3 linked regions of the Canis lupus familiaris genome follow. The protein of the gene in region 2 interacts with the protein of the main gene of each other region in a pairwise test. Links are inferred from orthologs where the notes say so. Each region holds a gene or a part of one and is shown on either strand. Other genes may lie near its edges.

Evidence for each region.
Region 1: the proteins of SDCBP2 (region 2) and SREK1IP1 interact in binary tests that used the Homo sapiens proteins (3 or more experiments, as listed by UniProt). The two-hybrid records come from large-scale screens. The link is inferred for Canis lupus familiaris from reciprocal best matches to the Homo sapiens genes SDCBP2 and SREK1IP1.
Region 3: the proteins of SDCBP2 (region 2) and PTMS interact in a two-hybrid assay, tested with the Homo sapiens proteins (2 studies listed by BioGRID and IntAct). The two-hybrid records come from large-scale screens. The link is inferred for Canis lupus familiaris from reciprocal best matches to the Homo sapiens genes SDCBP2 and PTMS.

Annotation. Positions count from the first base shown.
Region 1 is NC_049223.1:49,880,608-49,884,932, reverse strand, and holds the start of SREK1IP1 (protein SREK1IP1), read left to right. Parts: upstream 1-1,514; coding exon 1,515-1,595; exon of another isoform or gene 1,596-1,704; intron 1,705-1,916; coding exon 1,917-2,139; intron 2,140-4,325. Other genes in the region: spliceosome-associated protein CWC27 homolog, read right to left, coding at 1,437-1,478. UniProt on the Homo sapiens protein: Possible splicing regulator involved in the control of cellular survival.
Region 2 is NC_049245.1:20,194,222-20,197,743, forward strand, and holds part of SDCBP2 (syntenin-2), read left to right. Parts: intron 1-2,246; coding exon 2,247-2,405; intron 2,406-2,969; coding exon 2,970-3,145; intron 3,146-3,222; coding exon 3,223-3,394; intron 3,395-3,522.
Region 3 is NC_049248.1:7,821,924-7,826,003, forward strand, and holds the start of PTMS (parathymosin), read left to right. Parts: upstream 1-1,269; 5' UTR 1,270-1,361; coding exon 1,362-1,406; intron 1,407-4,080.

The DNA.
Region 1 (4,325 bases), on a different chromosome or scaffold from region 2:
GTCATCTCGTGTTTTAAGGCCAGCTCTAAAAAAATCCCTCATCCATGAAACTTTCCCGCCTCCCGCAGTTGCTCCCTCTTTAGTGCTCCCATACCACTAGCCTCCTCTCACCACAAGCGCCTACCAGATGCATCACAAAGCTTTTTCTTTACATGCCTGCCTCTCAAACAAAACCCTGAGCTCCTCCAGGGCGACCACTACCACCTTCATCCTTCACTGCAGCCCTAGAACCTAGTACAGGGCCCAAGGCTACCACCAGGCGTTCAATAAAAGGTTGTAGAAGGAATAGAGAAAGAGTAGTTCCCAAGTACACCAAAAATAAATAAATAGATAGCTAAACTAATATAAAAAATAAACATAGTAAATAAATATAAAAAATAAGTAAAAATCTAAAAGCCAAAAATGAAAATAGAAAATAAAAAATAAAAATAAATAAAAATAAAAATTTAAAAATAAAAAATAAAAATAGAAAAATAAAAATTAAAAATAAGTAAAAAAAATTAAAATTAAAAAATAAAAAACGAATAAAAATTAAAAATAAATAAAAATCAAAAAATAAAAAACCAAAAATTATAAATAAAAATAGAAAAATACAGAAAATAAATAAAAATTAAAAAACAAAAAAATAGAAAATAAATAAAAAAATCAAAAGTTAAAAATCAAAAATAAAAATAGAATAAAAATTAAAAATAAGTAAAAATAAAAATAAAAATTAGAAAATAAAATGAATGAATAAAAATTAAAATAAAAAATTAATAAAAATAAAAAATTAATAAAAAATTTAAAATTATAAAAATAGAAAATAAGTATAGGAAATAAAAATTAAAAACTAAAAATAAAAATAAAAAACGCAAAAATAAAAAATAAAATTAAAATTAAAAATCGATAAAAATTAAAAATTAGTAAAACCTAAATCAATAAAAATTAAAAATAAATAAATCAAAATAAAAAATTAAAAATAAATGTTAAAAATAAATAAAATAAATAAATGTTAAAAATAAAAATAAAAATATAAAAATAAAACATATAGATATAAATAAACATAAATATAAATATAGAAATAAATAAATAGAAACAAATATAAAAATATAAAAATATAAACAAAGTATAAATTAATAAAAATATAAGTAAAATACAAATAAAACAAATAAAAATATAAACAAGTAAATATAAATATAAATATAAACAAACAAGCCGGTTTTCAGAGTACTTTGTTTCCCCCTGGGCCCTAGAGGACCCCCCTGCCTGAGCCAGGCTGAAGCAAGAAGTGGGGCCGCGGGCCGGGAGGTGCGGGAACGTGGCCTCGAGGACTGGCGCGTACCCGCGGGGCGGAGCGCGCAGACGGTGTGGGAGGCCGCGCCCGGGGACGCGGAGGACGGGACGCCCGGCGGCCGAGCGGTCCCGGAGGAGCCCGCGGCCCCAGGCGAGGCCCTCACCTTCCCGTTGGTGGGAGGCTCCTGGATGTAGATGTTGCTCATGCCGCCCGGTCCGCGGGGCTCCGCTCCGGGTTGCGAATGAGGCCGGAGGGCCGACCCCTCCCGCCGCCCCTACCAGCGCAGCTCCCTCTCTCGGGGGGTCGCGGAGCGCTCCAGGGCGTCAGTGCCCCCAAGACGGCCACACCAGCCACTACCTTTACCCCCCAAACTAGTCCCTCACGGGCGCCGCCATGTCGCTTCTGGACCTGAGCACCGCTAATCCCGAGGAGGGGGGATTCCAATAGCCTCGGGGGGGGGAGAGAAAAGACCGCTAAGAACCGACACATTAATTGAATCTGTGGTACTCCTTTTGAAAAAAAGCAATCTCTAAGCCTTGGTGTTTAACCTCAGTAAACGGGCTCGGGTCTTATTCACTCCTCCCCTCCGCTCCCCCCCCGGGAGCGGGCGGCAATGGTTCGGACCGTGTGTGCTCTGCAATAGGCCTCCCCCCGCGGAAACGGCTTCGACGGGACTTGGGTTCCGCTGTCGCCAGCGGCCTTCCCGGACTGTCACGGCGGTCCCGCGGCGCCGGCGGGAGGAAGAGGCCGCCCTCGCCGTTTGCGGGCCTCGCTGCAGGCGGGCGGCGGGTCCTCTCGGAAGCCCAGGGCTCCTGCGACGCCTCCCCCCGCCTCCTTGCCGTCTTCCAGCGCTATGGCCGTCCCAGGTGAAGCCCGGCGCCGGGGCCCCGAGGTCGCGGCGAGGAAGGCAGCGGGGCCAGGGGAGGTTGGGGTGCGCTCGGGTCGCGGGGGAGCGCCGGGCGGGGCGGGGCGGGGCGGGGGGGGGCGTAGCCTGAACAGGTTCGTCTGGTCTGCAGGAAAAAGTTTCTCCTCCAAAAACAATCAGCGAAGGGAAGGAGGGGCGGCGGAAACGGCGTCCCTGCAGCGCCGCGGAGCTCCAGCTGCGCTGGATGGAGGGCGGGGGGGGGGGGGGGGGGGGGCTGTAACCGTAGGCCGGGCGGCGGGCGGGGGTGCAGGGGTCCGGGGCAGCTGGCTTACCTCGGCCGTGGCTTGAAGACCGGATCCCGGCGGCGCCCCTCGACGGAGCCGAGCAGCCGGAGGCATTGGTGCAGCGGCAGCCGCAGGCCCGGCCCCCGGGGCTCCCTGGTGCCCCGAGCTCCCGGGTGGCCCTGCACCCGCCGCTTTTCGTGCATCTGCAAAAGCAGCCTCGCTCCTTGACGCCTGTGGGTCCCTTCCAAGCTCTCGGTTCTGTGGGTGGGGGCGGGGGGCGGGGGGGTTCACCGTAAGGGAGCCCTACCTACCAAGTAAGCGCCCCGGAGCTCTCCCGTCTGCAAGGACGAGCGTCGGGAGGGCGTCTCCTTAAACCAGGTTTGCTCCCTGTCTTCCGAGGAACCCTGGTTGCAGGAGTTAGTTGCAGAATTATATCCCAACCCGCACCCCGCACAGCTTGGAGACTTCACGATGCACTTTAGTGTAGGAGCGACTCAGGTGCTGCGGTTCAGAAGCCCGCCCTCCCTTTGTTTCAACCTGCCCTTCGCGGTATTATTGAGCCGAGTTTGCACTGTGGCAGCCTCTTCCTGTCTCTTTTTGAAAAGACTGCATGTGTCCATGAGAGACACAGGGAGATGCAGGTTCCCTCCGGGGAGCCCCATGCGGGACTCGAACCCACGACCCCCCCGCCCCCACCCCGGGATCACGACCTGAGCCCAAGGCAGCGGCTCACGCGCAGAGCCCCCTCCCCCCCCCCCCCCGCAGGTGTGCCAGTTGCAGCCTTTTCTGACCTATATTTTGCAGATCACTGTTATAGGACTATTGGGCTTTTCAAACCACGACAATTTTGGGAGGAGGTTGGGGGGGAGGGGCTTGTGAGAGAGGAGAGATACCCTCCCGCACACACAGAGCAATCTTTATTTAAAGTGCCTACTAAAAAATAAAAATAAATAAAAAATAAAGTGCCTACTGACTGCATGCTGGGCAATGTGTGAGGCAGGGGGGAGGCAATGGGGGAACAGGACAGTTGCTCTTCACACGGAGCTGGGAATTTAGGAGTGGAGAGGAAGGACCAGGAAGTCAGGTGTATGTGTGGCAGGGGAACATTGGAAGCCTTCAAGAGCGCATAGGAAGGACACCTCACGGAAAACGGGAGAGGCCGGATGGGCTTCTTGGAAGACGTGGCATTTAGGATGAGTCCTGAAGAATTCCAGGAGGGTTGGAGTGGTAGGAGAGGATATTGCAGCCAGGTAATGGATGGGACTGACAGGTAAAGCAAGACTCACCTGATAGGCTGGATGGGTCAAGCAAGAGGCAACGTGTAAGAAGGGGAAATAAAGGATGCTCCCTATAGGCGGAACTCAGAATAGTCATGGGAGAGAGGTGGGACACTAAGTAGAGAGTTAATAACAGTAGCCAATATTTCCTAATGTATCAGGTGTGTAAATAGCGTGTACTATGTATCAGATGTGTGGCATACTGTGTCAAGCATTGGGTTTTATCTCCTTTTACCATCCAGGTCCACACTGGAAGATGAGCATTAGTATTTCAGTTTTAGGGGGCACCTGGGTGGCTTAGCGGTTGAGCATCTGTCTTAGGCCCAGGGCGTGGTCCTGGGATCCGGGATTGAGTCCCACATTGGCACCCCTGCATGGAGCCTGCTTCTCCCTCTGCCTATGTCTCTGCCTCTCTCTCTCTCTCTCTGTCTCTCATAAATAAATAGAATTTAAAAAAATAGTATTTCAATTTTATATGAGGATACTGAGGGACAAACAAGTCACTTGCTAATTAAGGGATAGCTAGTGATGTGACAGGTCAGTGGGGCTCTTCTAGCCCTAATGGGCTTATTCATTTTGCCGTGTTACAGTTTAATTTACAAGGTAGCTTCCACCCCTTTAAGGAC
Region 2 (3,522 bases):
CAATAATCATGAACTCCTGGGAAGCCACAAAGACAGTATAGAGAAGGGCACAGAAAGCTGTACCCTCCAGCGAGTGTTCCTAATGGTTATGCAGGAAGTGGCTGCAGAACCACAGGATAAGGAAAACGGGCATTTTACGTTGGTACAGTGAGCGTCTGTAGTCCTGTGTCACTTTGTCACCTGTATAGATAGACTCATGTAAGTACCAGTGCAACCAAGGCACGAACTGTTTCGTCCCCACAAAGGTCTCCCCCAGGCCGGCCCTTCGTGGTCATGCCCACTCTCTCCCCCTGACCATCCCTAACCCCCTGGCCACCACTAGTCTGTTCTCTGCCTCCATGATTTTGTTTCAGAATGTTATATAAATGGAATCCTACTGCGTGTAGCCTTTTCAGATTGGCTTTTTCCACTCAGCATAATGCCCTTGAAACCTTTCCAGGTTATTCACTGTATTAATAGCTCATCTCATTTTATTTGCTTATTTGTTTGTTTTTATTTCATTTTATTTTAATTCCAGTATAGTTAACTTTCAGTGTTATATTAGTTTTAGGTGTATAATACAGTGATTTAACAATTCCATACATCACCTGCATCCTTAATCCCCATCAATGCCCCCCCCCACCCCCCGCTCCCTTAGTTCATCCCCTTGCATTGCTAAGTAGCAGTCCGTGGTATGGACATCCCAAAGACTTTTGAATCCATTGAGAGTCATTTTAGTTTTTTCCAGTTTGGGGCTGTTACAAAGTAAGTTACTATGGATATTTTTGTATAGTTCTTTTGTACAGACATAAGTTTTCATTTCTCTGGGATAAATGTCCAAGAGTACAGTTGCTAGGTTGTATGATAAATGCATGTTTGAATCTTGAAAAGAAACTGCCAAACTATTTTAAGAGTGGCTCTGCTGCTTTATTTTCTTGCCAGCGACACTCTTCCAGTTTCTTCCCATCTTTGCCAGCTTCTCACTAACGTTCACTGTTATGATAAGTGTGTCATGATGTCTCATCAGGGTCTTAATTTGCATTTCCCTCACGGCTAGTGATGTTCAATGTCCTTCCATGTGCTGTTTACCAGCTATGATTTTTTTCAGTAAAATGCTCTTCGTATGTTTTGTTCATTTTCTCAATGGATAGTTTGTTTTTCTTTTCTTTCTTTTTAAAAAATATTTTATTTATTTATTCATGAGAGACACAGACACAGGCAGAGGGAGCAGGGAGCCTGATGTGGGACTTGATACCAGGACCCTGGGATCACGCCCTGACCCAAAGCAGACGCTCAACCACTGAGCCACCCAGGTGTCCCTCCTTTGTCTTTTCATATAAAGTTTAGATTAACCTTGCCTACATCTACAAGACATCTTGTAAAGATTTGGATAGAAATGGCATTGAATCTTTATGTCAATTTGGGGCAATTGATGGCTTTATTATGTTCTTCTAATTCATGAATAGAAAATTCCTTTCCATTTATTTAAATATTTTTTGATATCTTTAATCAGCCACTTTTTTGTTTTTGTTTTCAGTATGCAAGTCCTACATATGTTTTGTACACCTACTCCTATGTTTTATTTTTGAGTAATTATAGTTGGTAGTGTACTTTTAATTTCAGTTTCCATGTGTATGCTGTTAGTGTATAAAAAGTACAGTTGATTTTTGTGTGTTGATCTTGTATCCTGTGACCTTGCTGAAGTCACTTAGTTTTAAGAGTTTATTTGTAGATTCCTGGGAATATCCTAGTAAATCATCCTATCATCTGCAAATAGGGACCATTTTATTTCTTTTACAGTCTGTATGCCTTTTATTTCCTTTTCTTACTTTATTGCTCTGGGTAGTTATTCCAGTACCACATTTAAGAGTAGTGGTGAGAGTGACATCCTGACTTGTTCTGGGCTTTACGGGGAAAGCACTCGTTTTTATACTTTTTGCTTACATTTTTTTTCAAGACAAAACAAATCAAGTCCTTTTTCCCCCTAATTGCTTGCTATTTGCTGTGAAATTTTATTTTTAATTGGATTTCGAAGGGGTCTTCTCCTGACACCAAAATGAGGGTTTCTTTTCTGTATACCCATTCTCTTTCCCCTCATTTTCCTGGCTGTTTTTCAGGGGGTATAGGCTTTGATGCCTCCTAGTGGCTTCACGGAGCCATGCACCCTAACAGGCCCTGAGAGAGGAGTGTGATCTGGGGATGGGAGAGGGCCCAGGGACCACTGCATCCTTCTTTCCCCATCCTTATGAGACCCCTGGTGTCTGCAGATGGTGGGCTCTGGCCTGTCACTGGGCCAGCTGGTGGCACCGCTGTCTGGAAACAGCCTTGGCACACGGCGAGCAGAGATCAAGCCTGGGGTGCGCGAGATCTACCTGTGCAAAGATGAGCATGGCAAGACGGGGCTACGGCTGAGGGCCATTGACCAGGTAGGGCTGAGGACTGGGCAGGAGAGGAGGGGGCATCTCCCACACGTATTGCCCACCAGCCTGGGAGGGGGGCTGCGGGCCCTGTCCACAGTAAGGAAGGTGCGGAGCAAGCAGGGGAGCCAAGGCTTACCCAGCCTCAAGCGGAGGCTCTTCTTCTCAACCTCCCTCCCCTAAGGCCCCAGGGTCAGTGCTGGGTTCTAGAATGGACCTTCCACTTGTGCCTCCTGGGCTCCTACCATTCGGGGTCTCTCTTCCTCCCTCTCCTCCATCAGAGGGATCTGGCTTCCAGGCAGCTCAGCTGTCTGCAGAAGGTGGAAGCCGGCGGGACCAGTGCCGTCGTAAGAAGCCATGCAGTCCAGGGGCTGGGGCTGCAGCCTCCAGCCAGGGTTGAGATCTTACCCAGCTGCTCCCTGGCTATGTGGCCTGGAGTATTTTGTCCCCAGGAAAATGGAGTGACCGCTGTCCTGCCAGCTCCTAGACGATCAGGAGGCAAACAGCAGCCGGAGGGACCTGGGCTCCGAGTGATGTGATGGGGAGCTGACCACAGGGCCCTGCCTCCTCCAGGGGCTCTTTGTGCAGCTGGTGAAGGCCAACAGCCCCGCGTCTCTTGTGGGGCTGCGCTTTGGGGATCAGATCCTGCAGATTGACGGCCGAGACTGTGCCGGGTGGAGCACGGACCGAGCGCACCGGGTGCTGAAGAGGGCATCGGCAGAGAAGATCGCCATGGTCGTTCGGGACAGGTGAGTGGCCAGGCCCCCGGTGCCTCCCTGTCTGGCCCCAGGCACGTCTAGGCCCGGCTCACGGTCTCTCCCGCCAGGCCGTTCCAGCGCACTGTCACCATGCACAAGGACAGCACGGGCCACGTCGGCTTTGTCATCAAGAAAGGCGCGGTGGTCTCTGTGGTCAGAGGGAGTTCCGCGGCCCGCAACGGGCTCCTCACCAAGCAGTCCGTGTGCGAGGTGAACGGACAGAATGTGGTCGGGCTGAAGGTAGGTGCGCTCGGCCGCGGAGCTCAGGCGCTGAGAGGCGGGCAGGCCGCCGTGCCCCTGAGGCTCGGATCCCCGCGCTCTGGTTGCTGTGGGCTAAGCCGAGGGAGGTGGAGCTCTGAGCTCAGCGC
Region 3 (4,080 bases), on a different chromosome or scaffold from region 2:
GAAAAGCAAAGAGAGGGAAAATGTAGAAGATCAGTCAGGAACCTGAAGAGGAGTTGGGGGAAACCAGTGAAAGGTACAGGGCCAGGTGACAGACTCAGAGGACAGAGGAAGTTGGTATGGGAGAAGGGAGAACAAGGTCAGAGATGGAAGGGAGAAGAGACAACAGATGAACAAGAGATGTAAGGGACAAATGGTTGTGACAGAGGGGTCTGGGTACAGATGAATGAGCAGGTATGAGGAGAAAAAGAAAGACCAGGCAAAGATGAGTGAGATGAGATGGGCGAATAAGAGCGGTCCAGGATGGAGGAAGAAGGAAAGAGCCCGAAGGGCCTCTGACTTCTCCAGATCTCTCCGAAAGATCCAGGAAGGGAGGAACCCAGCAGGGTTCACCAAAGTCAGCCTCGGGCAGGACCGAGGGTGGGCTGCCCGCTTGGCCCTCCCATCCCCTCTCAGGGCCACCGAGAGAAAGGAGATGCAAGACGGGAGGGGAAAGCCAGCGTGATGTGGAAGAAGCTCCGCCACCCTCTTCCTCTTCTTTAAGCTTTTGGTTTCTCAGATACCTGCCCGGTCTTTCCATCTGCTTCTCCCACCCCATCCCTTGGCGAAATCTCAGGGTTTCTTGGGGGTGTGTGGGGGGGGTAGGGTCAGTAGGATTCTGGCCATCCCTCCAGTCCGCCCCCAAAAGACAGACTCCACTTTGGCAGGCGGTAGGTCGGGATTCGGAGAGGTCCCTCCCCGCAGGAACCCCACCCCTTCCCACCTCCTCGCCCCACTCCTTTCTCCGCGACCGTCAGTCTCTCCATCTCCCCCTCCTGGTCCTGTCCTCCCTCCCGCCTCTCGCGCGCTCCCTCCCCTCGCTTTCATCCTCCTATCCCCACCTCGCCAACCTCCGCTTTCATCCCCCTCCCCTCTCCTCTCCTCCCCGCTCCCGCCAGCCCCACCCCTGGGAAGCCCCTCCCGTCGGGCAGCGCCGCCTTTATAAGCGGGTTCCCTGCCCGGGGGCGGCAGCGGCTGGTCGGCGGCAGCTCTGCTGTGCGGGGGCGGCGAGCCGAGGACCGAGCGACCGCGGCCGGAGCGCGCCGGCCACCGCCCGCACCGCCCTTCCGCCCGCCCTCCGGACGGCCGCAGCCCTGCGGGTCTCCGCTCCAGACCCACCCCCGCCCCACCCCGCGCGCCTCTGCCGCCTCTTCCAGAGACCCAGCCTGCTGAGCGGCCGCCGCTGCCGCTGCCGCCGCCGCCGCCGCCACCGCGCCAGGTTCCGGCCGCGGCCCCCCTCCGCCGTCCAGGGCCCCTCCGTCCCGGCCCCGGGACCCCGGCTCCCCGCCAGCCCCGGCCCCGGCCCCGGCCCCGGCCCCGGCACCATGTCGGAGAAGAGCGTGGAGGCAGCGGCCGAGTTGAGCGCCAAGGTACGGGCGGGGACGGCGGCGGCCGGGACCCGGCGCGACCCCCGGGCTCCGCGCGGCCCCGGGCCCCACGCCGCCCCCGACGGCCCCACGCTGCCCCGGCGCCGGGTCCCGGCGGACCCTGCTCCGCCCTCCCCCCTCTCCCCTGCCCGGCGCTGCCTACCCCGCTCCGCGCGGCTCCCGCCAGCGCCCTCTAGCTTCCCGAGCGCCGCGCGCCGCGGCCCCGGCCTCGCCGCCCGGCCCGCGCCCGGCCCCCGCCGCCGTCCCCACCCCTCTCGGGCTCCGGCTCGGGCTCCGGCTGCGGCTCCGGCTCCGGCCCCGGCCCCGGCTCGCGCGCCTCTACCCCGTCCGCTTCCCGTCGGAGCGCGCCGCAGCTCACTTTGCCGCGCCCCTCCCCCGCCCGCCCTGTCCGCGCCCCGTGTCCCCGTCTCCCTTTCCATTCTGACCTCACCTTTCCTCTGCTAAGCGGTTTGAGATTCTCCAGAGTAAACAGGACTCTCCCGGGAGGCTGCTGCTCCCGGGCCCCTCCCCTCGAGGCCCGGCCGCCTCTCGCCTCTCGCCTCTCTCCTCGGACGGCCACTGCCTCTTTTCTCCTCTCCTTTCCTTCCGTTAGAACCATTTCTTCCCCCACTGGCCTTCAGCTCTTTTTTCTCTCCATAGCCCCCTACAGCCTCTCCCCTTCCTCCCACCCCCAACCACACACACTTAAAAGAGTCTTGGATTCCTAAAAATCGGAAGGGGGGGTGGAGCGGGAATAGCCTTCGAGAAAGCCGAAGCTCGCGTTGCATGGCACTGCATCGAGCCGTCCTTGCTCTCATCAGCTCCCTTCCCTGGCTCCATCCCTTTGCCCTTGCTTCTCTTCCAGCCTTCCTCTAATTTCCCTAGGGAACCTGCTGAGTGTCGCTTTGGGAAATTAATTCGGCCAGCGTTTGGGGGCTGGGAGCCCGACTTTGGGGGGGGGGTCGGTTGTTGAGGAGGTCACAGAGGTCTCCTAGAGGCCCCCCGAAATGTGAGTGGGGGTAACTAGTGGGATTAAAGGCAGTGGCAGAGGGGCTACGTGTGAGAGCTGACAAGGTGTGCGGTGTGGCCCTCCGATGGGCTGTGCAATGGCATGTGACTTCACTGAGTAGGTGTCTTTGTATGTCTGAAATCCAGCGAGTGTGTGGGACTGCCCGTGTCAGTTACATGTGTGCATGTGGAGACGTAGATGTTTCTGGAGCCATGTTGCTGCTTTGTGAGTACCGAGTGGCTCCACTGTGCTCTTGTGCTGTCTCAAGAGTGTGTGTCAGAATGCCCAAACACCCAGGCCATGTGTCTCGGGATCTCATGGGCGCTCCTCTGTAGCTGTGTGTGTGAATCGGTGTCAGCCTGTGGCAGTGTGTGTGCCTGTGTTGAGTAAATGAGGCCAGAGAGCTGCTTAGCACAAGACCTAGGTCACATACCCTCCTGGAAAAGGGATCATGGAAGGACAGTGACCAGAAGGACAGGACAGGACAGGGGAGGCGAGGGCCCGGCCCCTTGGACTTTGGTCTCTGGTAGCCTCCCTTCCCCCCATTCCCATAATTTCCCCTCCCTCCCTCCCTCTCTCTAGCAGCCCAGATGGGAAACTCAGGCCAGGGCAGCACAGACCTGGTGCTGGGGCCCCCAGAGAGAAGCTGACTAGCCCCCCTGGTTCTCCAGGCCCAGAATGCAGGGGAAAGCCCACCGGGTAGCAGAAATGCCATATCAACCATGTGGCAAAGAAATGAGGACAGGGAAGGGGCATGAGGAAACCTAGCTGTAGTGAGAGGGTCCTGTGTTCTGTGTTCCTCTTAAAGGAAAGAGGGAATCAAGTGTTCCTCCAGGTCAACCATTCTATAACCAACCCCTTGCCCAGAAAGGACACACCCTCCAGGGTGATCTATTCGCACCGAAAACTTCATCCACATGGTATCAGATACACAGAGTTGTACGCCAACACCAGATCAGATCACACAGGGACATCCACAGTTGATCTGGTGCCTGCCATGGGCTTTTGGGGTGGGGTGGGTGGGAAGAGGACTGGAATCTAAACTGGAAGGGCTGGTGTGATGTCCAGAGAGGAGGGACCCATGAGCATCTCCATCTGCCATGTCAGAATAGGACATCACAGGTGTGTCTGCTGGGCTCCTGGGGTGGAGAGGTGCAGTGGAGGGAAGGTCCTCCACACAGGTATCTGCTCCATCTGCATTCTCATCCCACCCCAGATACAGACCTTGTTTTCTCTATCTACAATGTCCAATACCCTCTCCCTTCCGTGTTTCCTTTATCCTCCTTTACCGATACCGCCCCTGGAGAGGGTTACTTCTACCCTTGTACCACACCAGTGTGCGCATGGCAGGGTCAGGGGAGAGGATGTAGGGAGGAAGAAACTACTGAACTGGTTTGGAGTAGATGTGCATCATGTTGGCGTTTTTGGCCAAGTAGGAGCCTGAGGAGTAGGGGGATCCACGGGCGGAGAAACAAAGGCATTTGAGGCTGAGGGGGAAGCTGGGAGGGATGCCCAGGAGAGTGAGTACTCAGGAAAAAGCCCCAGAGGTAGACAAAAGGCAGAGCAGGGCAGGCAGCGGGAGGGGACAGGCCAGGAAGGCGGGAGGGGACAGGCCAGGAAGGCGGAGGGACCTCAAGAGGGGGTGGGGCATCGGGGCGGCAGAGCAGA